2 linked regions of the Stegostoma tigrinum genome follow. Each later gene encodes a partner of the first gene's protein in a complex. Links are inferred from orthologs where the notes say so. Each region holds a gene or a part of one and is shown on either strand. Other genes may lie near its edges.

What was found. The genes of interacting proteins can lie anywhere in the genome.
Region 2: abi1a (region 1) and wasf2 share a complex: the UniProt entries of both Homo sapiens proteins name them as parts of the WAVE2 complex. The link is inferred for Stegostoma tigrinum from reciprocal best matches to the Homo sapiens genes ABI1 and WASF2.

The regions. Positions count from the first base shown.
Region 1 is NC_081355.1:123,346,131-123,356,152, forward strand, and holds the start of abi1a (abl interactor 1a), read right to left. Parts: upstream 5,088-10,022; 5' UTR 5,009-5,087; coding exon 4,892-5,008; intron 1-4,891. UniProt on the Homo sapiens protein: May act in negative regulation of cell growth and transformation by interacting with nonreceptor tyrosine kinases ABL1 and/or ABL2. May play a role in regulation of EGF-induced Erk pathway activation. Involved in cytoskeletal reorganization and EGFR signaling.
Region 2 is NC_081377.1:43,677,611-43,688,631, forward strand, and holds the start of wasf2 (wiskott-Aldrich syndrome protein family member 2), read right to left. Parts: upstream 4,920-11,021; 5' UTR 4,786-4,919; intron 1-4,785. UniProt on the Homo sapiens protein: Downstream effector molecule involved in the transmission of signals from tyrosine kinase receptors and small GTPases to the actin cytoskeleton. Promotes formation of actin filaments. Part of the WAVE complex that regulates lamellipodia formation.

The sequences.
Region 1 (10,022 bases):
ACACCATACATAGTTAAGTCAATGAGTGAGCCAAGGGTATGGGAAAACTATGAAGTCACACTTCAGAACAAGATCACCACTGCATAACATTCTTCCATCACATAGCACAACCAACCAAACATTAAAATTTGAAGTTTCATTTAGTAAACACTTCCTAGCTGTTTCTAACTGGTCATGCCATAACCAATGAGCACTGCAAGGAATGGAAATGTCCAAGCATAGATATGATAAGAATAAAAGGAATTAGGGTGACTCCTTATAAAAATGCAGCTAAATGACATTTGCAAATACTGGAAATATGCATTGAAACAAGGTTGGAATGGCATGACAGCACAGTAGTTAGCACTGTAGCCTCAGTGCCTGGAACCTGGGTTCGATTCCAGCCTCTGGCAACTGTCTGTGTTGAGTTTGCATTGTCCCCTTGTCTGCTTGGGTTTCCTCCAAGTGCTGTTTCCTCCCACAGTCCAAAGATGTGCAGGTGAGGTGGATTGGCCATGCTAAATTGCCCATGTTCAGGGAGTTGTAGATTAGGTGGGTTATAGGGTGATGACGGCATCAGTGTGGGTGAGATGCTCTGAGGTTCTGTGTAGACTTGTTAGGCCAAAGGGCCTGTTTCCACACTGTACGGATTCTATTCTATGGGACACTGCAGGTTGCCTAAAGAGATCAAAAAAGATATGATACCAGAAATGAGAGGTTGTTCCTTTCAGGAACACTTGAATAGACTGTGGTTCTTACCTTCAGCAGAGGAGAGCTGGCACAGATCATCACTAAATAAAACTAAAAAGGAACTTAGGAAAGGCCTTTCTGTTTAAGACTGTGGTCACAATGTAGAATACTGAACTTGTTTTGTAGCAGGCAATTGGCAAGGACATTAATGAGGAAAACAAGGCAGTCATTACAAAGGAAGATGACTACAAGAATTAGTTAAGGATGGATGGAAGCTCACATGGTGCACAAGCACTGGCAAGGGGTTGTACAGCAGCTAAAATGGCCCACTTCTATGCTATAAACACCATGTGATATCATTTTTCAAACTGGCTTGCACAAATTAACTCCTCTCTCCAATACAGTACTGCCATATATCCTGCTTCAACCGAGAAATTAAATAAAGCTTGCACAAATTGCTATACAAGTTACGCTGGCTGTGACAATAGCAGAAAAAGGTGCAAAACGTTTCTGGTTAAAAACAATTCAGCAAAAAAAAAGTGTTCATAGATTGAATTACTACACAATACAGACTAATGGAGGAGATAAATTTAAAACTATTCGGTTAGAATTAGAGAAGTGTAACAGTGCACATGGAATTGGGTAGCAATGGGAAGCGTCAAGATGCATTATCAAATTTGGTTGACCAAGACTTGCGAATACTGCTGAACCAATCAAAACATTAGACTAAAATATCCAGCGGACCATACGAGGAGGGCTGATATTAAAAGTGAAGATATTTGGCAGTGGTGTACATTCTGTGTACAATATGCTTGCTTGCAGGATTAAACTACCGCTAAGTAAAATTACAGTTAACTTTCAAAAATATTGCAGACACACTGCCAGACACCTACTCTGATAAGATAAGCAAAAGGATCGAAATTTGCTGGGAGATGGAAGTGGGAAGTACCAGTACTTGGAAATAAACAGACATCTGACTAACTATCCCCTGATACGCCAGTAAGGAATATTCTATCTTGCATTAAAAGATACAAAATCTGATTCACAAGAATAATTGATGCTATGGCTGACAGGAGAACAAAGATGACAAACAGCAGCTTGATCCACATTCTGCACTGAAAGAAACTGATTGTTTTTGCAGTTTACATGTGAGCTTGAAATTACTGTTGAGCAATACAACTTTATAAAAGTAGATTTTCGAAAAAGACAAGTAGCAGCTTGAGCAACCTACTGACTACCTTCAACTGTGGACTGATCACCTACAATGATTCTAAATAAGGGGACACAGCCACAATAAGCCGCTCATGCAGTCAGAATACTAAAAGTTGACCGAGTTAAAAAATAAATTAGAACATATCTTGCAATCTTTGGAAGGAAGGGAAATTTAAAGAATGTCCAAGATTATTCTGTAGATTGGAACATTTAGCCAAATGAGATATACATTTTACACAGGTACCAAAGATGCAAGATTTCAGTCAAAAGGTATTAAAAGGGAATATGACTGTATGGTTTAAGGACAAAGCAACAGTCAATGAAATCTGTTTTAATAAAATGCAAAAACAGAAACAATGATCAGTTTTTTTTAAATGTATGAACTAACTATTTGGGGCATGAACTAGGCAAAGCTGTAAGCCACTGATTAGATAAAGTCAACATGATTCGACAAAGGGTTTTTTTAAAACGTGGAAACCATCAGGATAATTAACAAAAACGTGCAGATACAGCACATTCATTTTGAGGATGCGCTCGATAAGATCCCAGAGAACAATTTGTTCCACAAGATAAGAATTCACAGGATCAGCACGGTCAAGAATCAGAAAAGAAAAATAAATAAGTCATTATTGGGTGGCAGGATGGAACTTAGTTGAGCACCACAAAGATCAGTGTTTGGTCTCATACTTACAATTCATACTGTGACAAGAAGAACTGTGTATCCTGGTGTACTGAAGACACAAGCGACGGTGGGTGAGCTGGGGAAGATCTAAGATGCCTCTATAGGATACAATCAACTTAAAACTATTGAAAGTGCATGATGAAGTACAAGTGCCAAGTACTCGGAGGGGAACTGATAATTCTCAATCTCTACATTGATTCTGAACTACTTCCATTGACACTACATCACCAATGTGCTCTATATTCACTTATCTAATGGCTGAATCTTTCCTCAAGACATGACAAGTCAAAAAGCTTTGTCTACATTGCTTCTACTCTGCATAAAATGCAAGTATATCCATGCCATTCACCAGACTCATTAGCTCCAAAAATCAATGCTTCACTTCTCAAAGCCTCATGTTTAAATACTCCCATAAGCATCTCCAACTCCAATTCTCAAATCATTTGGATTCTTCACACTGAAATCTTCAATTATCAAGATCCCAAACTCTGGAAGTTCACTTGCTCTAAAAATAAAACTCTGAAAGCTCGGTACCAACTTTTGACTTTACACTTGCTTAGAAATACAACTCAAAAATACTTCAATTTTTAAAAAGTGCTAAAAACATGGTCCCGAGGTCACGCAGAGAAAGGCTACGAAGTTATCTATATAAAAATGACAGACGACAGAGCAAAAAAAATTGCACTGAAACCCTAAAAGTGCGACAGTATGAGCAAAAATGTAGAAGCAATTTAAGGTGCGTGTTATCCAGTACAACAGAAAGAGATTCAAATTAAAATCATGACTGCAAAACAAAGTAGCTTCAAAGTGGTCACAACTTCGTGAAATGGAAATAAGAAAGCACTTTATGCAGCCAGAGAAAACTAAGACATTTGAAGCAACTATCAAGAGTATTACAAAAAAAGGACAGATACTCAGCACCATCGTGATGCTCGTATAGAAATAAAACCTTAAATTGACACAGCCTGGGTCAAATAGCTTCAGTTTCCTTATTTTATGATAAGCAAGTTACCCAAAAACAAGTGCAATTCAGACAAACTGGAATTGAGCACAAGGTTTGAGAATCACAAGTTCATCTGCAAAGCAGGATACTTCATACTAGAGTGTTTATTGACATATGTAAACCTATCTGTCGTTGCCCGGACCACTACAGCTGACAACTGCAAGTCGTGTTGCAACTTCTATCCGCCTCCGACTATCATATTTCCGTCCATGGAAAAAAACAAACGTTACATAGGTTTCCTCCGTATCTGGCGCATCAAACTAACTTTCGGGTGGAGTTTGGGATCTCATCCTGTTACAAGTGATCTCGGAGTTTAAAAAAAACACTGCGGCTGAACATGAAGCTGCGAACACCCACATTTGCAAGGAATTTACTAAGACAAAAACGAAGAGCGAGGATAGGAAAACCTACTTCATGGCGAGGGGTGGGGGCTTTTGACGCCTTTAAGACTAGTTCCACACTAAACTGGTGTCGGAAAGACTACTTCACCGCACAGTTTCCCCGAGGTTGCCCAACCCAGAGTAAAGGGAGTGTTGCTCAATTGATATAGCTATCATTTCAGCATGTCGGACTACAAAAAACCTATACTTAGCTTTCAGACAGACAAATCACATGAAAGAAACACCGAAATTTATAACACACGCACGCAAACAGATCAATGGAAAGATCCCCTGGCTTCACACCGAATTAAAACAAAGCGGGGACGAACTGCTTGCCTCAAGAACAAAAGCTGTTTATAAAAATCAATTCAAATTGTAGAGCGGGTGCCTAAAGAGCACAGGCGGACCCGTGGGAGGGGTGGAAACTATTGGGAGAGGGAGAGCCCCGGCCCACATACCCGGGGAATATGAGTCAGACAGCGCGGCACACCCTCTGGGACACACAGAGACTGGCGTTAAAAAGTGTGCTGGTAAATCCAGGGAACTACTGACGGAACAGGCTGACTCCTTCACAAAGTGAGTTTAAAAACAGAAGAGAGCTAGAGAGAGACCACCACCCCTCTCAGCCCCGAGCAAAACCTGACATTATCGAGGCCCCGGGACGGGGGCGGATAAGTGTCCAACCGTTCACGGCCTGGGGAAATCGAAGTGAAGAAAGAAGAGGTGTGTGTGTCTGTCTGTCTGTACTGGTCTCAGGGGGGTGGTTGCAGGAGTGGGGGCGAGGGATCGAATTCACGGCCCAGCCCGTATCCGGGCAGAGTTACTTGCCACTGGGACGGTGTGTGTGTGAGAGAGAGAGAGAGCGGGACACGGCAGGGGAGTTGTAACCGCCAGCGGTGCCGCTCGTCCGCTTTTCCCGTTACCACTGCCCCCGCCAGCTCGTACCTGGATATAGTTGTTCTCGCAGTAATCGGCCACACGGCCCAGGTTCTGGTAACTCTCTATCAGCGCCCTCTTGCCGGCAGGGATTTCCTCCTCGAGTAACATCTGCAGCTCTGCCATCTTACATCTTTCTGCATCGCTTTATGACTCCTCGCTCAAGACCGCCTTGGTTACACCCTCCCAACCGCGCGAGGCACGCCGGGATCCCATAGCCTCCCTCTCACCCACCGACCGCAAAGTCATCTGGGACTTGTAGTTTGAGATGATGGGAACTGCAGATGCTGGAGAATCCAAGATAATAAAATGTGAAGCTGGATGAACACAGCAGGCCGAGCAGTATCTCAGGAGCACAAAAGCTGACGTTTCGGGCCTAGACCCTTCATCAGAGAGGGGGATGGGGAGAGGGTTCTGGAATAAATACGGAGAGAGGGGGAGGCGGACCGAAGATGGAGAGAAAAGAAGATAGGTGGAGAGGAGAGTATAGGTGGGTAGGTATGGAGGGTATAGGTCAGTCCAGGGAAGACGGACAGATCAAGGAGGTGGGTTGAGGTTAGTAGGTAGGAAATGGAGGTGCGGCTTGAGGTGGGAGGAAGGGATGGGTGAGAGGAAGAACAGGTTCGGGAGGCAGAGACAGGCTGGGCTGGTTTTGGGATGCAGTGGGTGGGGGGGATGAGCTGGGCTGGTTGTGTGATGCCGTGGGGGGAGGGGACGAACTGGGCTGGTTGTGGGATGCGGTGGGGGAAAGGGAGATTTTGAAGCTGGTGAAGTGCACATTGACACCATTGGGCTGCAGGGTTCCCAAGCGGAATATGAATTGCTGTTCCTGCACCCTTCGGGTGGCATCCTAGTGGCACTGCAGGAGGCCCATGATGGACATGTCATCTGAAGAATGGGAGGGGGAGCTAAAATGGTTTGCGACTGAGAGGTGCAGTTGTTTATTGCGAACCGAGCGGAGGTGTTCTGCAAAGCGGTCCCCAAGCCTCCGCTTGGTTTCCCCAATGTAGAGGAAGCCACACCGGGTACAATGGATACAGTATACCACATTGGCGGATGTGCAGGTGAACCTCTGCTTAATATGGAAAGTCATCTTGGGGCCTGGGATGGGGCTTGTTGTAGTCTCTCTCCTCTGCCAATGACCTGGAGATGCCGGACACTGGAAAGTGTGCCTGCGGGGATAAAACTGGCTTTTGAGGTACCAGTGGTAATGTCCTTCATTCTGGCTCAGGACATCCATGTCCAAGTCCCACTTCCTCCAGACGTGTGTAGTAACATGCCTGAACAGGTTAATTACAAAATATGCTGGAGAAACAACACAGGTCTGGCAGTATCTGTAGGGAGCGAAATAGAGTTAACTTTTCAAGTCCAGTGACCTTTCAGCTTAGAACTGAAGACACCCGATGAAGTGTGGAATATATCCTGATTTGAGTTCTGTTGACTAGTCAAAATCGTGGAACACCCATTCTTAACAGCACTGTAGACAACATAGATTAAAGAAGCACGCTATTACCTTCTCAAAGTCAATTAGTGATGGGTAATAGATATGGGCTCTGCCAGTGATCTTTACATGCCATGAATTAATTTTCAAAAAAACTAACAGATATAAACATTAACTGTATCCCTCCTTAGCTGGTAAAGGTAATTAGTTGCAATTTTATTATCATTTCCTTTAACTTCAAGAACAGAATTATTAATAGACCTTGGAAATGGTTATGTCCACTGGATGGGGAGATCATAAATAAGTAGGTCACAAAATTAATTTTAATGTGGTGCAATTTAAAAGATTCGTACAAAAGACATTAGTTGGAATTATGCAGATAACAAGTCAATTATGGTCAGTCTTCCCAGTAATGGTAGCATAAATATATATTATACACACACACTGGTCAACAGACAACAACATAGACCTTGGTTCTCCATTATGAATGACGAATATAGTCACCTTTGGTTGGGTCCACTGCAGTACGTGTGAATGAAGCACTCCTTTGGACATTTCCTCTTTTGCCCACAGTCAAATATTCTGCTGACACTAATTGTTCAGTTTCAAATGCAAAAACTATATATTTGGCTGAGCTACTTCCTGGGTAGCTGTCAGAGGACCGAGAACCATATTCCATGGGCCACCCCCAAGCTTTTAGAAGGTCAGGCAGGAAGACATAATGGAGCGGGAGGCAAAGTTTCTCTTTCCCAATGGCAGGTTAAATTTATGGTATTAGCTTCTCAGAACCTTTCAACTGGGTTGGCTTTCAGGAACCTTTTTTATATTTTTTAGCAGTCTATGAATACTCATTAATGTCCCAGGAGATGGTAGTTACATTCATGGATGCAACCTTTTTAGCCAAAAACAGGAAGCATGTGTTCACAAACCTGACTATGTACACAAGAGGAGTGCTTGGCAGAGTAGACTGCTTCCTCCGAGCCCTGTGAATAAACCAGTAATCCATTACGTGGCTGCTTCAGAAATAAAATATCATGCAAACACTTCCGTGGACTAAAGAGTCCCAATGTTCAGCTGGTGATGACAAGGCACATTCATAGCCCATCAAGTTTATTACATTTAAGCTCCTCCAGTGTTAATGGTTTTGTTCCTTCCCAGGGACCAGCGGTGGTAAATACCTTTGCTGAAATAGTAGTCCCAGGACATGGCAGCAGTAGCTACGTCAGCCAGAACAAGGCACCAGTTGCTTTTGTGCAGTGGGCTCAGCGTTGAGTTTGAGCCGAGTTCAGAACCCAGCAGCTTCAGCAGACTCATGGTGATGATGGCAAAGGACCCAATGTGATGCCAAAGACTGGTGACATGGTTCCAGCGGTGGTGTCATGGCTCCAGGCCATGGCTGGACTTAGATACCTGACAGTAGCATTGCGGCTGCAGCACTATGCACCTGAATGTTCGCAGATTGAGGGATGCACATTGTGGCTTTGTTTTTCTGTCAGCAAGGACCCATGACAAAGTGTCCTGTCTTTTGTATACTAAGATGGTGCCGGATGATGATGATGGCAACTTTGTATGTTTCTCACTGTATTCTTGTATTCCTGTAGATGAATGTACATGACGATAAAATCTAAATCTAAAGACCCTCCTTGTTCAACAGCTCATAAGAACGAACATACATTGGCCATCAAGTTTATTGTAGTCAGATTATTACAGTGTTAGAGAGGATGGCTGATCAGTCCCACCAGCCGACCTAATCGAGGTAGTCACACTGTTCATTAAAACAAATCTGATTAGAACAGGCAGGCATAATAAAACTTAAAAGGTGAATGAACATAAATGGAACGTTAACTTAAACACGTGTGTAACCTAAATGGGGCATCAATAAAAAAGGTTCTCAGAAAAGTGAGCTGGATGTAAAGGGAAGCTAGAGAAAGCAACTTAAGTGCCTTTAAAATCATGGGCAGTGGAAGGATCCTCTGAAATGGAGGCAGCGAGAGAGAGAGCAAGAAAGAGCAGAACTGAATAAGGCAGAGTTTATCTGAGTCGAGGCATCATAATTTCTGTGGGAGTGGGATCAAGGAGAAGAACAGGAATGTCAAAGGAAATAGTAAGAAAGGGAAATTGAAAGATCGCAAAGTAAAAACAAAACAGGAAATGGCAAGGCCATTCATGGTAATGGGGTTGGGGGGAGAATTGTACTCAAAATGGGGAGAGTGTGGGGGATGCAATCCAAAGATAAATGTACAGCCCCATCTTTCCAAAACTCAAATTTCAAAAGAGGGTTTCCAAGAATTTCAGGGATTAATGCAGAACCAATTGCAGCCTCATGTATATGAATGTTAATGGCATTGTGATGAAACAGTTATGTTGTCTGATCCTGCAGAAGTGTGGGGCTGCATCACAGGGTGCTATGATGGCAAATAGATTTACATTGCGTTAATTGGCATCGGCATGCAAGGTACCTTTAAGATAAAAAGCACAGATGTCTCTGATGTACCAAAAGGAAAGCTGAGAATCAGTCATGGGTGATGGACATTGCACCTATCCATGTACAAGGTATCGCCCAAGGAGGAGCAGCCTGATAACGGTCTAAAGTAGTCATTGAATATGACAAGATGGTAAATGCAAAGCAAACATCTAATTACTGTCCTTTAATCACATATCAATAATTCCACTTTACATGTTGAAACCCAGCAGCAATATTAGCATTTATAAGACTAAAAAGATGAAGAAGGAGATGAAAAGGAAAGAAAAAACACAGAATCATAGACATGAAGCTCAGGGGCTCCTGCTGTCGACAAACACGCAGCCTGGTAAGAGGGAGTCCAGTGACTACAGAAACAGTCTATAGAGAAAGGGTATATGGAAAGCATTGCAGCTACCTCCAGATAAGTAAATGACATCGTTACATTTCTGGAGTAGTTGTGATCTACATCTGGTACCTCCTGAGGAAGATATGCATTTGCACAGCTTGGAAGGAACTGCTCTGTCTGTGGGCCTGAAGATCATGGTTCCTTTCAAAATTCAAATGGGGACTTGTGTGATATTTCACACAAATCTTATTGATGCCCTTTACAGGAAGGCAACCCAGTTTCTCTAATTCATCATTGACCTGAACAGCATAGCTGCCTGAACTGTGCAAAGTGCAGTTATCGCTTGGTTTGCTCAGGTGAAAGGACCCAACAACTCTGCACAAATGGTGCTCAGAGTTCCCTGCTAGTCAGATTCGTGAACAGGGTAGGGTTTCAATCCCTCAATGACCAGCTCCTTTATGACCACTGGCAACAATTCTTGTAAATGTGTGCCCACTAACAAGTGAACTGGCACAATGCTTACACTGTGCACAACATCTAGCTTCCTCCAATGTTGGATCACCATCTCCAGAACTGGGCCTTGATGATAAAAGGTGCTTCCAGAAAGCATGATAATGATTCCAGTATGGAACCCTCAGACTGGTGACATAAATGTGTACAAAACAGCCCATGCATCAATTAGTGCCATCATTGAACAGAAATTTCCTCTTAACCATGTGCCTTTCTCTTCCCATAAAAGTGGAGGAGGTTGTCAAATCCATACCATTGCAGCACATATCTGTTGTTACAATGTGCACACAGGCAAAATGAGAATTAAATTGTGTCCAGGGTGAGTAGGATGTCATAGAATGAATAATTCTGAATTGTCTAAAACATTGTGCTAAGTTTT
Region 2 (11,021 bases), on another chromosome or scaffold:
GGGTTCGATTCCCACCTTGGGCGACTGTCTGTGTGGAGTTTGCACATTCTCCCCGTGTTTGCGTGGGTTTTCTCCGGGTGCTCCAGTTTCCTCCCACAGTCCAAAGATGTGCAGGTTAGGTGGATTGGCCTTGCTAAATTGCCCGTACTGTTCAGGGGTGTGTGGATTATACAGGGTAGTTCTGGGTGGGATGCTTCAAGGGTAGGTGTGGACTTGTTGGGCTGAAGGGCCTGTTTCCACACTGTAGGGGATCTAAGAATCTAATCTAAATAAGATCAGTTATAACTTTTGTTATTCATTTTGGTGAGCATCTGATTGGAATATCAATTATTATATATAAAAATTAGCCTTACTGCATGTGACAAACTAACTTCAAATTATACTGAAGGGAAGGAAAAACATGTTTTGAACATCTGCTGTCAATCTCACTTTGTGCTAGCTTTCACAGCAACATTTTGTACATTTGGAGTTACATAGTTTTCACTCAGTTAGCATTTACAAAAAATGCAGTACAAGCTGGCATATTTTTGTCACAGAGGTCAAAGATGATTGAATTTTTCAAATCCTATTTACCAGATTAATTATACAACTGCTTAATTTATGAAACAGTTTAGAGTTGCATGCCATGTATAGACTTTAGTAGATTCTGAAATTAAGATTTCAATATCAAGCGGTCTTAATTGAACAGATAACAATTTAGGAGTCAAACATCATAACTCCTGCACTACCTGCGACAATTAAAAACAACACAAAATGTAACCAACAAGGTTCGTCGTACTCCTCTTCTTAAAAGGATTGAGCATAAAATCATTGAGGAAACTACACAAAACAAAAAAACTTCCATTGTATGTAAACAGAAGTACATGCTGTAATCAAGAAACAAGCTAATGTTTCTTCATATAAACAAATTATCTAATTACATTTACCCCCGCTGTTCCTATTCTCTTTATCCACCTCTCCAATCTAATCTCAAAAGCTAACACAGCTCAGTATATCCAGCCAAATATTTCAGAGAGTCTGGTCAGCTTCATTATTCTCTTGTCTCAACAATTACAAAATTAATCGTTTATGCTTGTTACGCTAAGTTTATGATGTGCAAAGGTTATTAAATGCTACAGTCGAAACATTTGTATTTGCAAAAACACATCCCTTTAAGTTCATGAGATAATGGGAACTGCAGATGCTGGAGATTCCAAGATAATAAAATGTGAGGCTGGATGAACACAGCAGGCCAAGCCGCATCTCAGGAGCACAAAAGCTGACGTTTCGGGCCTAGACCCTTCATCAGAGAGCTCTGATGAAGGGTCTAGGCCCGAAACGTCAGCTTTTGTGCTCCTGAGATGCGGCTTGGCCTGCTGTGTTCATCCAGCCTCACATTTTATTATCCCTTTAAGTTCATGCCCATTTACAGCAAATCATAGCACAAGGATGCCCATCAAACCATTGTCTCTAGGTCCAGATAATATTTATAACTCCAGTCAAAATGCCTTTAAGTCATGTAATTTGCTACTTTCAGCATACAGACAGCAAATTCAGTGTCACACAACCTAGCCTACACATTAAATGAAGAATTAAAATATTTAACAGTGCCTCAAGAATTTATTGAGGTCAATGTTTACTGTAAAATAGAATGCATTGAAGAACATTTAAAAATATCTGATGTTGCCTGGTTTAATGACACTCTTCAGTTTACCTTATTTAAATACTATATAATTCAAAAACATTTTCCAGCTAACTTCGCAGAATTATGGTTAAGTAAAACTGCCTGGACACAGTAGGTAGCTGAAATTAGCACAGGTATTACATGTGCTCATCTAACGTTTTCTGATGGGCATACTAGTGTCAGCAGAGCAACAGTCTTCCTTAAATCCTGATAATGGTGTATATTCTGCAGGAACGTCAGCCATGGCAGTTTACAGCAGTCTCACTTCACTGTCATAAGGTATGAGATTCAGTTCCCACCCCAGGGCTTCAGGAGAAAAGTCAAAAGACTCAGTCCAATGCTGCACCAAGGGAGCACTGCTGTAACAAAGGTCACTATTTAATCACAAGTTGGCTGTTGTGTTTCCTACGCTATAAATGACTAGGCTTCAGAAGCAGAGATAACAAAAAATTTCAGAAAATTTTCTGAAAAAGGGTCTAGGCCCGAAACTTCAGCCTTCCTGCTCGACCTGTGTTCATCCAGCTCTACACCTTGTTATCTCAGATTCTCCAGCATTTGCAGTTCCTACTATCTCTGAAGGCTTCAGAAGAACTCCACTTGTCAGGTAGTCTTGAAATATGGTATATAAAGGCAGGTCTTTTTCCTTTATTTCATCCTCATGCTCCTATGAGGAAGCAAGTTAAAAGGTCCGGGCAGAAGAATTCTTAGATGACAGACTGGAGTGGATGGGGGTAACTATATTTTGCTTTTTCCTCTTTCCTTAACCCCCATGAGAAAAATCTGACAATGATGCTCCAGGGCTGTTAAATGTATTACCAAGGGATCCTTTAACTCTGAATCAGTGTCAATGACATTAAATACGAACATACCAAACAGAAATTTGGATTGTCCAAAGACTAATCAGAAATAGCCTGTGGCGAATAAAATTTCCATGTTGCCTTCAGAGCAACACATTTCTTAAAAATCTTAGAGACTTCAAATTCCAAGAGCTTACTATCCTTTGTAAAGGCCCCAAAGGCTTCAGCGAGTTAATGCCAAAGATTGCTTTTTAATTTACCACCCGAAATTTGGCTGTGGTGTAGAAGCCCACCTTGCCCTGAGATTCAAAGCAATAACACCAAGTTTTTAGGAGCAAACATCTTCAACATGAAGATATGCAACCTCCAACTTACTGCCAGCTCCTAAAGTAATTTAATTACTTACAAGTCCCACGATCAGAAGAAAAATAAACATTGTGGCCAGTATGCAGTCCAGGTCTGGTGTTTGGTCAATTAACAAGACAACTAACTAGATTACAAGTCAATTTCTTTCCCCCCACCCCGCTCCAGTCTTTTTATAGTAAATCTACACAACATTTTGAAGATTTCTGATTACATCAGATTCTGATGTGTTGCATCTGTTAATTGCAACTTCTGGCTCTAGAAAAAGCTTACATTTTTAGACTTCAAAACGCAGCTTGAAACTAATCAGATTCAAATGTCTTCCCTCAACATACATTACATACAAAAGCAATGGCTTGTGGGAAGACAAGAATAGCTGCGTACACACCCAAGTATGACTCAATGATTGGAATGGCTGTGCAAACGTTCAACATTATGACATGCCAACTTCTAACTTTGCAACAACATACCAGATTCTATTTTGACAAACAAATGTCTTTTTCTTGATAAGACAAGCCATGGGAAAGAAAGACATTTTGAAAGCTTCACAGTACTTTTTCTTTAAAAAACATTACACTAAAAACCAGGGCAACAAAATATATTTTCTTTAGGAAATTCCATCAAATTACAAAGTTCAACTTTATTTCAAATAATCCAATTGAGGAAGAATAAAAAGTATGAGAAATGAGGTGCCTTCCTTAACAGCAGACAGAAAGGTTAAATTCACCACAATCCGGAACAAAGTATTTCCCCCTTCCTCAAAATGAAAGTTTAAATGACCAAAGTGGGCAATTGCACAAAGCTTTGCCTGAAATTGAAACATTTTGGCAATTTTTCCCATCTCTTATGTCAAGAAAATCTAACCAGTTTATGGCCATTGATTTTCAACACCAAACAAATACAACTTTCAATAATGTCAAGGCAAATATTACTAAACTCTTAAATAGTACAAAGAACTGCAGATGCTAGAGATCTGAAACAAACAGAAGTTGCTGCAGAAACTCATGTGGCAGCATCTGTGGGAGAAAACAGTTAATGTTTCATGTCTTCTGTCCACTCTTCAGAACAGATTCTGAAGGAGCTACAGGACTCTGAATGTTGCGCTTTCTCTCCACCAATGCTGCATAAACTCATAGCTGCCAAACCTATCTCTGTTTTTGTTTTTTGCAAAGCCTTCTTTTCCTCAATTATTTTCAGTTGCAGGCCCCAGGATGAGTCCTCAATGCTGATTGATGTCAACAGGGTTCAATTTTTGCACTGGTTGTAGTGGTATAAGAGGCCATTGGGCCCATTGTATCTGCACCAGCTCAATAAACTAGCATCATTACCTCACGCCAACCTCCAGCTTTTCTATCATTTCCTAGCACATTATTTTCATCTAAATAATCAATCATTCAGTGCCCTGTTGGGTGGGGGGAGGCAGCGAGGGGCGGGGGTGGGGGGGTGGAAGCGGTGAGGGGTGGGGTGGAGGTGGAAGCGGTGAGGGAGGGGGTGGGTGAGGGGAGGCGGGGAGGGGGGGAGAGGGCTGGAGGCGGAGGGGGGGTGGAAGTGTAAGCGGTGAGGGGGGGGGATGGGTGAGGGGGGGAGAGGGCTGGAGGCGGTAGGGGGGGGGATGGGTGAGGGGAGGCGGGAGGGATGGGTGAGGGGAGGCGGGAGGGATGGGTGAGGGGAGGCGGTGGGGGGGTGGGGAGGGGAGGCGGTGGGGGGGGGAGGGCTGGAGGCGGTAGGGGGGTGGGGAGGGCTGGAGGCGGTAGGGGGATGGGTGAGGGGAGGCGGTGGTTGGGGGGGGTGAGGGGAGGCGGTGGGGGGGGGGGGGTGGGTGACACGGCTGCCCCCGGCTCCGGGTTGAACGCTCACTATTCGGCACAAACTGAAGCCGCGGCCCACCACACCAAGTTCGAAACCTCCGGGGCCGTAGCCCGAAACGGCCCAGATGAGAAGACGTGACAGACAGAAACTCACTCGAACTGATTGCCGACGCGAACCCGCATCTTAGAAGACAACCGCCATCCGCCCTGATTCCCCCCAACTCTCCACCATAGCCACACCCACACAGGGGATTCCAGATCCGCTTCCGGTACATCCGCATTCTGATTGGACAACGCAGCCGGCAATCATACTGACAGCACACGTTTGGTGGTGTGAGCGTGTATCCGCGTTTGATCCGGGAGAAACCATTACGGATGGAGGAGGGAGAAAAATATTTAATAACAATGAGATATACACTTAAAACAGGGGTAGCTCTTTTAATGCTTCATTGTTCCTGGTAAAAAATTAAAATCAAATTTTGCTAAGTCAGGACGGGACAAGAGGTTGACTAGAGAATTTCTTCTGGGACCTGTATATATTACGGTTTACCCCTCTTCATTGGGCGTTATGGTCTTTTCCAAATGTTGCACATACCTCAACAGGTCTGAGCAAAACCTGCAAAAATCGGGGAGGAAACACTGTCAGATTACAGAGAGGGGGGGGGGGGGGGAGAAACTGTCAGATTACAGAGAGTGGTGGGGGGGGGGAGAAACTGTCAGATTACAGAGAGTGGGTGGGGGGGAGAAACTGTCAGATTACAGAGAGTGGGGGGGGGAGAAACTGTCAGATTACAGAGGGGGGAACACTGTCAGATTACAGAGAGTGGGGGGGGGAGAAACTGTCAGATTACAGAGTGAGGGGAGGGGACACTGTCAGATTACAGAGTGTGGGGGGGGGAGAAACTGTCAGATTACAGAGAGTGGAGGGGGACACTGTCAGATTACAGAGTGTGGGGGGGGAACACTGTCAGATAACAGAGAGTGGGGGGGAGGCACTGTCAGATTACAGAGTGTGGGGGGGGAACACTGTCAGATTACAGAGAGTGGGGGGGAGGCACTGTCAGATTACAGAGTGTGGGGGGGGGACACTGTCAGATTACAGAGAGTGGGGGGGAGGCACTGTCAGATTACAGAGTGTGGGGGGAACACTGTCAGATTACAGAGAGTGGGGGGGAGGCACTGTCAGATTATGGGGGGGAACACTGTCAGATTACAGGGGGGAGGGGGACACTGTCAGATTACATAGAGTGGGGGGGCACTGTCAGATTACGGGGGGGAGACACTGTCAGATTACGGGGGGGAGACACTCAGATTACCGAGGGGGAGACACTGTCAGATTACAGAGAGTTGGGGGGGACACTGTCAGATTACAGAGAGTGGAGGGGGACACTGTCAGATTACAGAGTGTGGGGGGGGGAACACTGTCAGATTACAGAGAGTGGAGGGGGACACTGTCAGATTACAGAGAGTGGGGAGGGGGAGACACTGTCAGATTACAGAGAGTGGGGGGCGGACACTGTCATATTACAGAGAGTGGAGGGGGGACACTGTCAGATTACAGAGAGTTGGGGGGGGACACTGTCAGATTACAGAGAGTCAGGGGGGAACTGTCAGATTACAGAGAGTGGGCGGTGGGGGGGGGGGAAACACTGTCAGATTACAGAGAGTGGGGGGTGTTGGGTGGGATACACTGTCAGATTACAGAGAGTCAGGGGGAGACACTGTCAGATTACAGAGAGTGGGGGGGACACTGTCAGATTACGGGGGGGAGACACTGTCAGATTACGGGGGGGAGACACTCAGATTACAGGGGGGGAGACACTCAGATTACAGGGGGGGACACTGTCAGATTACAGAGAGTGGGGGGAAACACTGTCAGATTACAGAGAGTGGGGGGGACACTGTCAGATTACAGACAGTGGGGGGGAACACTGTCAGATTACAGACAGTGGGAGGGGAACACTGTCAGATTACGGGGGGAACACCATCATATTACAGAAAGTGGGGGGTGGAACACCGTCAGATTACGGGGGGGGGAACACCATCAGATTACAGAGAGTGGGGGGGAAACACCGTCAGATTACAGTGAGTGGGGGGGGGGGAACTGTCAGATTACAGACGGGGGGATCACCGTTAGATTACAGAGAGGGAGGAGGGACACCGTCAGATTATAGAGGGGGGGGAACACCTTCAGATTACAGAGAGGGGGGAACACTGTCAGATTACAGAGACGGGGGGAACACCGTCAGATTACAGAGGCCGGGGGACACCATCAGATTACACGGTGGGGCGGGGGGGAACACCGTTAGATTACAGGAGGGGATGCACTATCAGACTACATAGTTGGGGGACACCATCAGATTCCATACGGGGTGGGAACACCGTCAGATTACAGAGGGTTGGGGGACACCATCAGATTACAGGGGGGGAACACCGTCAGATTACAGAGAGGGGGACGCTGTTTGATTACAGAGAGAGGGGAACACTGTCAGATTACAGAGGGGGGGAATACTGTCAGATTACAGAGGGGGAAACACCGTCAGATTACAGAGAGGGGGACACTGTCTGATTACAGAGAGAGGGGAACACTGTCAGATTACAGCGGGGGGGAACACTGCCAGAAATACGGCGGGTGGGAGAATACTGCCAGAAATACAGAGTTGGGGGGAGCACGGTCATATTGTAGAGGGGGGGAATCACTGTCAGATTACCGGGGGGGGGGGGGGCGGGGGGGGGGGGATTCTACCAGATCACACAGCAGGACAGGGGGTGCCAGAACAGCCAGATTACAGAGGGTGGGAATCTACCAGATCACAGAGAGAGGGGATTCTGTCAGATCAAAGAAATAGAGGAGGAGACCGCCTGATTGCAGAGGGATGGGATATTGTCAGGTCACAGAGAGAGCAGGATCTACCAGATCACACATAGTGGGGGAAGGGTGGACTGTCAGATAACAGAGTGACGGAATATACTAGATCACAGATTGTGGGGGCAGGGACCATCAGATCACAGAGAGTAGGGCTATCTACCAGATCACTGGTAACGGAGAGACTTTCAGATCACAGAGAGAGAATGGGAACTGCCAGATCATATAGCTGCCAGGATATATATATAACTGCCAGGAAAGTTTAAGGAAGATATGCGTGGATAGTTCTTTACACAGAGGGTGGTGGGTGCCTGGAACGCGTTGCCAGCGGAGGTGGTAGACGCAGACACGTTAGCATCTTTTAAGATATATCTGGACAGGTACATGGATGAGCAGGGAGCAAATGGACACAGACCCTTAGAAAATAGATGACAGGTTAGACAGAGGATCTCGATCGACGCTGGCTTGGAGGGCCGAAGGCCTGTTCCTGTGCTGTAATTTTCTTTGTTTTCTTCTTTGTTGTATCACCGAGAGAGGTAAGGATCTACCAGATCACAGATAGTGGGGAGGCTGTCAGATCACAGAAAGTGATTCGGGAGGCGGGATCAACCAAATTGAAGATAGTGGGTGTGGGGATTGTCAGATAACAGGGCAGCATGGATAACTGCCAGATCATACAGAGAGAGTGTGGGGATTGTCAGATCACAAGAGAATGAGGGATATACCAGCTCACACAGAGAGTAGGGGAAGTGTCAGATGACAGAAGCAGAGCATGTGGGAGGCTATTAGATCACAGAGAAAGAACAAGGGACCTACCAGATCACAGACAGAGAGAGAGAGAGCATGGGGAAAGTGTTAGGTCACAGACAGAGAGATACAGAGAGGGAGGATAGGAGACAGAATGATGATAGAGCTTTGTGGCTCAGACTGGAGGCCTGTGATTAGCAGTGTGCCATGGGGATCAGTGCTATGTTTACTGTCGTTCATCATTTACAGAAATGATTTGGATAAGAATATAGGAGGCATGGCTAGTACTTCTGCAGATAACGCCAAAACAGTGTAGAAGGTTACCTCAGAGTGCAACAAGATCTTGATCAGCTGGGCCAATGGGCCAAGGAAGGTCAGAGGGATATTAATTCAGATGAATGTGAGGTATTGCATTTTGGTTAGACAAACCAGGACAGGACTTACACAGTTAATGGTATAGTCCTGGGGAATGTTGTAAGGCAGAAAGATCGAGGGTACAGCTACATAGTTCTTTGAAAGTGACCTCACAGGTAGAAAGGGTGGTGAAGAAAGTGTTTGGTACGCTTACCTTCATTGGTCAGAGCATTGAGTATAGGAGTTGGGACATCATGTTACAACTGTACCAGACGTTGGTAAGGCCACATGTGGAGAAATTCATACAATTCTAGTTGCCCTGCTATGGGAAGGATTTTATTAAATTGGAAATGGCACAAGAAAGATTTTCAGGAATGCTATCGAGACTGGGAGGTTTGAGGTAAAGGAGAGGCTGCATAGGCTGGGATTTTTGTTCCCCGGAGCATTGGAGGCTGAGAGGTGACCTCATAGAGGTTTATATAATAATGAAGGACATCCTTAAGGTGATTAGCCAAGGTCTTTTCCCCACGGTTGGGGAGTAGAGGGCATAGCTTTGAGGTGTCAGGGAAAAGACTTAAAAGGGACCTTAGTGGCAACTTTTTCACACAGAGGGTGCCAACTACATGGAACAAGCTGCCAGAAGTAGTAGTAGAGAAGAGTACAATTACAACACTTAAAAAGACATTCGGACAGGAAGGGTTTAGAGGGATATCAGCTAAATCGCTGGAAAATGTGACTAGTTCAGTTTAGGAAATCTGGTTGGCATGGATGTTTTGGGCCGAAGGGCCTGTTTCCGTGCTGTATGGCTCTGTGACTCTATGACTGTCAGATCACAGAGAGAGAGAGAGAGAGAGAAAGAGTGAAGTGGCACTGTCAAGTCACAGAGGGTGCGAGAGAAAGAGAAAGAGTGGGGGCTGCAAGAACGCAGAGAGAAAGAGAGAGAGTGAGGTCTGCAAGAACGCAGAGCGAGTGAAGTCTGCAAGAATGCAGAGAGAGAGGGGGCTGCAAGAACGCAGACAGAGAGAGAGTGGGGCTGCAAGAATGCAAAGAGAGAGAGTGAGGTGTGAGAGAGAGAGTGAGAAAGAGAAAGAGTGGGGGCTGCAAGAACGCAGAGAGAGAGACCGAGGGCTGCAAGAATGCAGAGAGAGTGGGGCTGCAAGAACGCAGAGAGAAAGCGAGAGAGTGAGGTCTGCAAGAACGCAGAGAGAGAGGGGGCTGCAAGAACGCCGACAGAGAGAGAGTAGGCTGTAAGAACACAGACAGAGAGAGAGTGGGGCTGCAAGAATGCAATGAGAGAGAGTGGGATGTGAGAGAGAGAGAGAGAAAGAGAAAGAGTGGGGGCTGCAAGAACGCAGAGAGAGAGACCGAGGGATGCAAGAATGCAGAGAGAGTGGGGGCTGCAAGAACGCAGAGAGAAAGCGAGAGAGTGAGGTCTGCAAGAACGCAGAGAGGGGGCTGCAAGAATGCAGAGAGAGTGGGGGCTGCAAGAACGCAGAGAGAAAGCGAGAGAGTGAGGTCTGCAAGAACGCAGAGAGGGGGCTGCAAGAATGCAGAGAGAGAGGGGGCTGCAAGAACACAGACAGAGAGAGAATGGGGGCTGCAAGAATGCAGAGAGAGAGAGTGAGGCCTGCAAGACCACAAGACGTCCTATATATGGTTATGGCCTGTTAATGTTCATTAACAAGAATCTAGGCCTTGACTCACTGTATTTCAAAACTAACTTTAGTAGATATTTAAAAAATTCTAGATGTGTGACAGGATATGTGACACCATTGAAATCATTAAAAAGTACCGCTGTAATTTGTGTTACATTTCAGCCTTCTGTCTGACGTTTTCCATTCATGCTTCACATTAGAAGTTACTGTTCATTGCCAACTAGTACCTCATATGTTAAGAGAAGCATTGTATTCCCAGGGTAAGCAATCAAACCCTTTATATCTGTTTTGAAAACAATATGAACCATTCTTGTAACTTCTTGTCTTGACAAAGACATTGGAAAGTTCTATTCTGATGGCTACACTATTTAATTAATATTATTAATTAAGTTAATTAATTAGTGTACTAATTAATATTTATTAAGGGACAGAAATAACACACAGAACAATTGGAACCAATAGTACTTTGTATTTACACAGCACCTTAAAAGTGGTAAAGATACTTTACAGAAACATTGAAAAGACAGATTTGACACTTATCCAGATATGAAGTAGTTCTAAGGAGTGTCTTTAATTAGCAGGAAGAGGCCTGGATGGGGAGATTTAAGAAAAGAATTCTGGAGATGAAGGCGGAGCAGTTAATATTGGGCAAAAAAACACTAAAATAACAGCAGATGCTGGGAATCATAAACAAAAAGAGAGATTACTGGAAAAGCTCAGCAGGTCCGGCAGCTTCTACTGGGTGAAATCAGAGTTAATGTTTCTGGT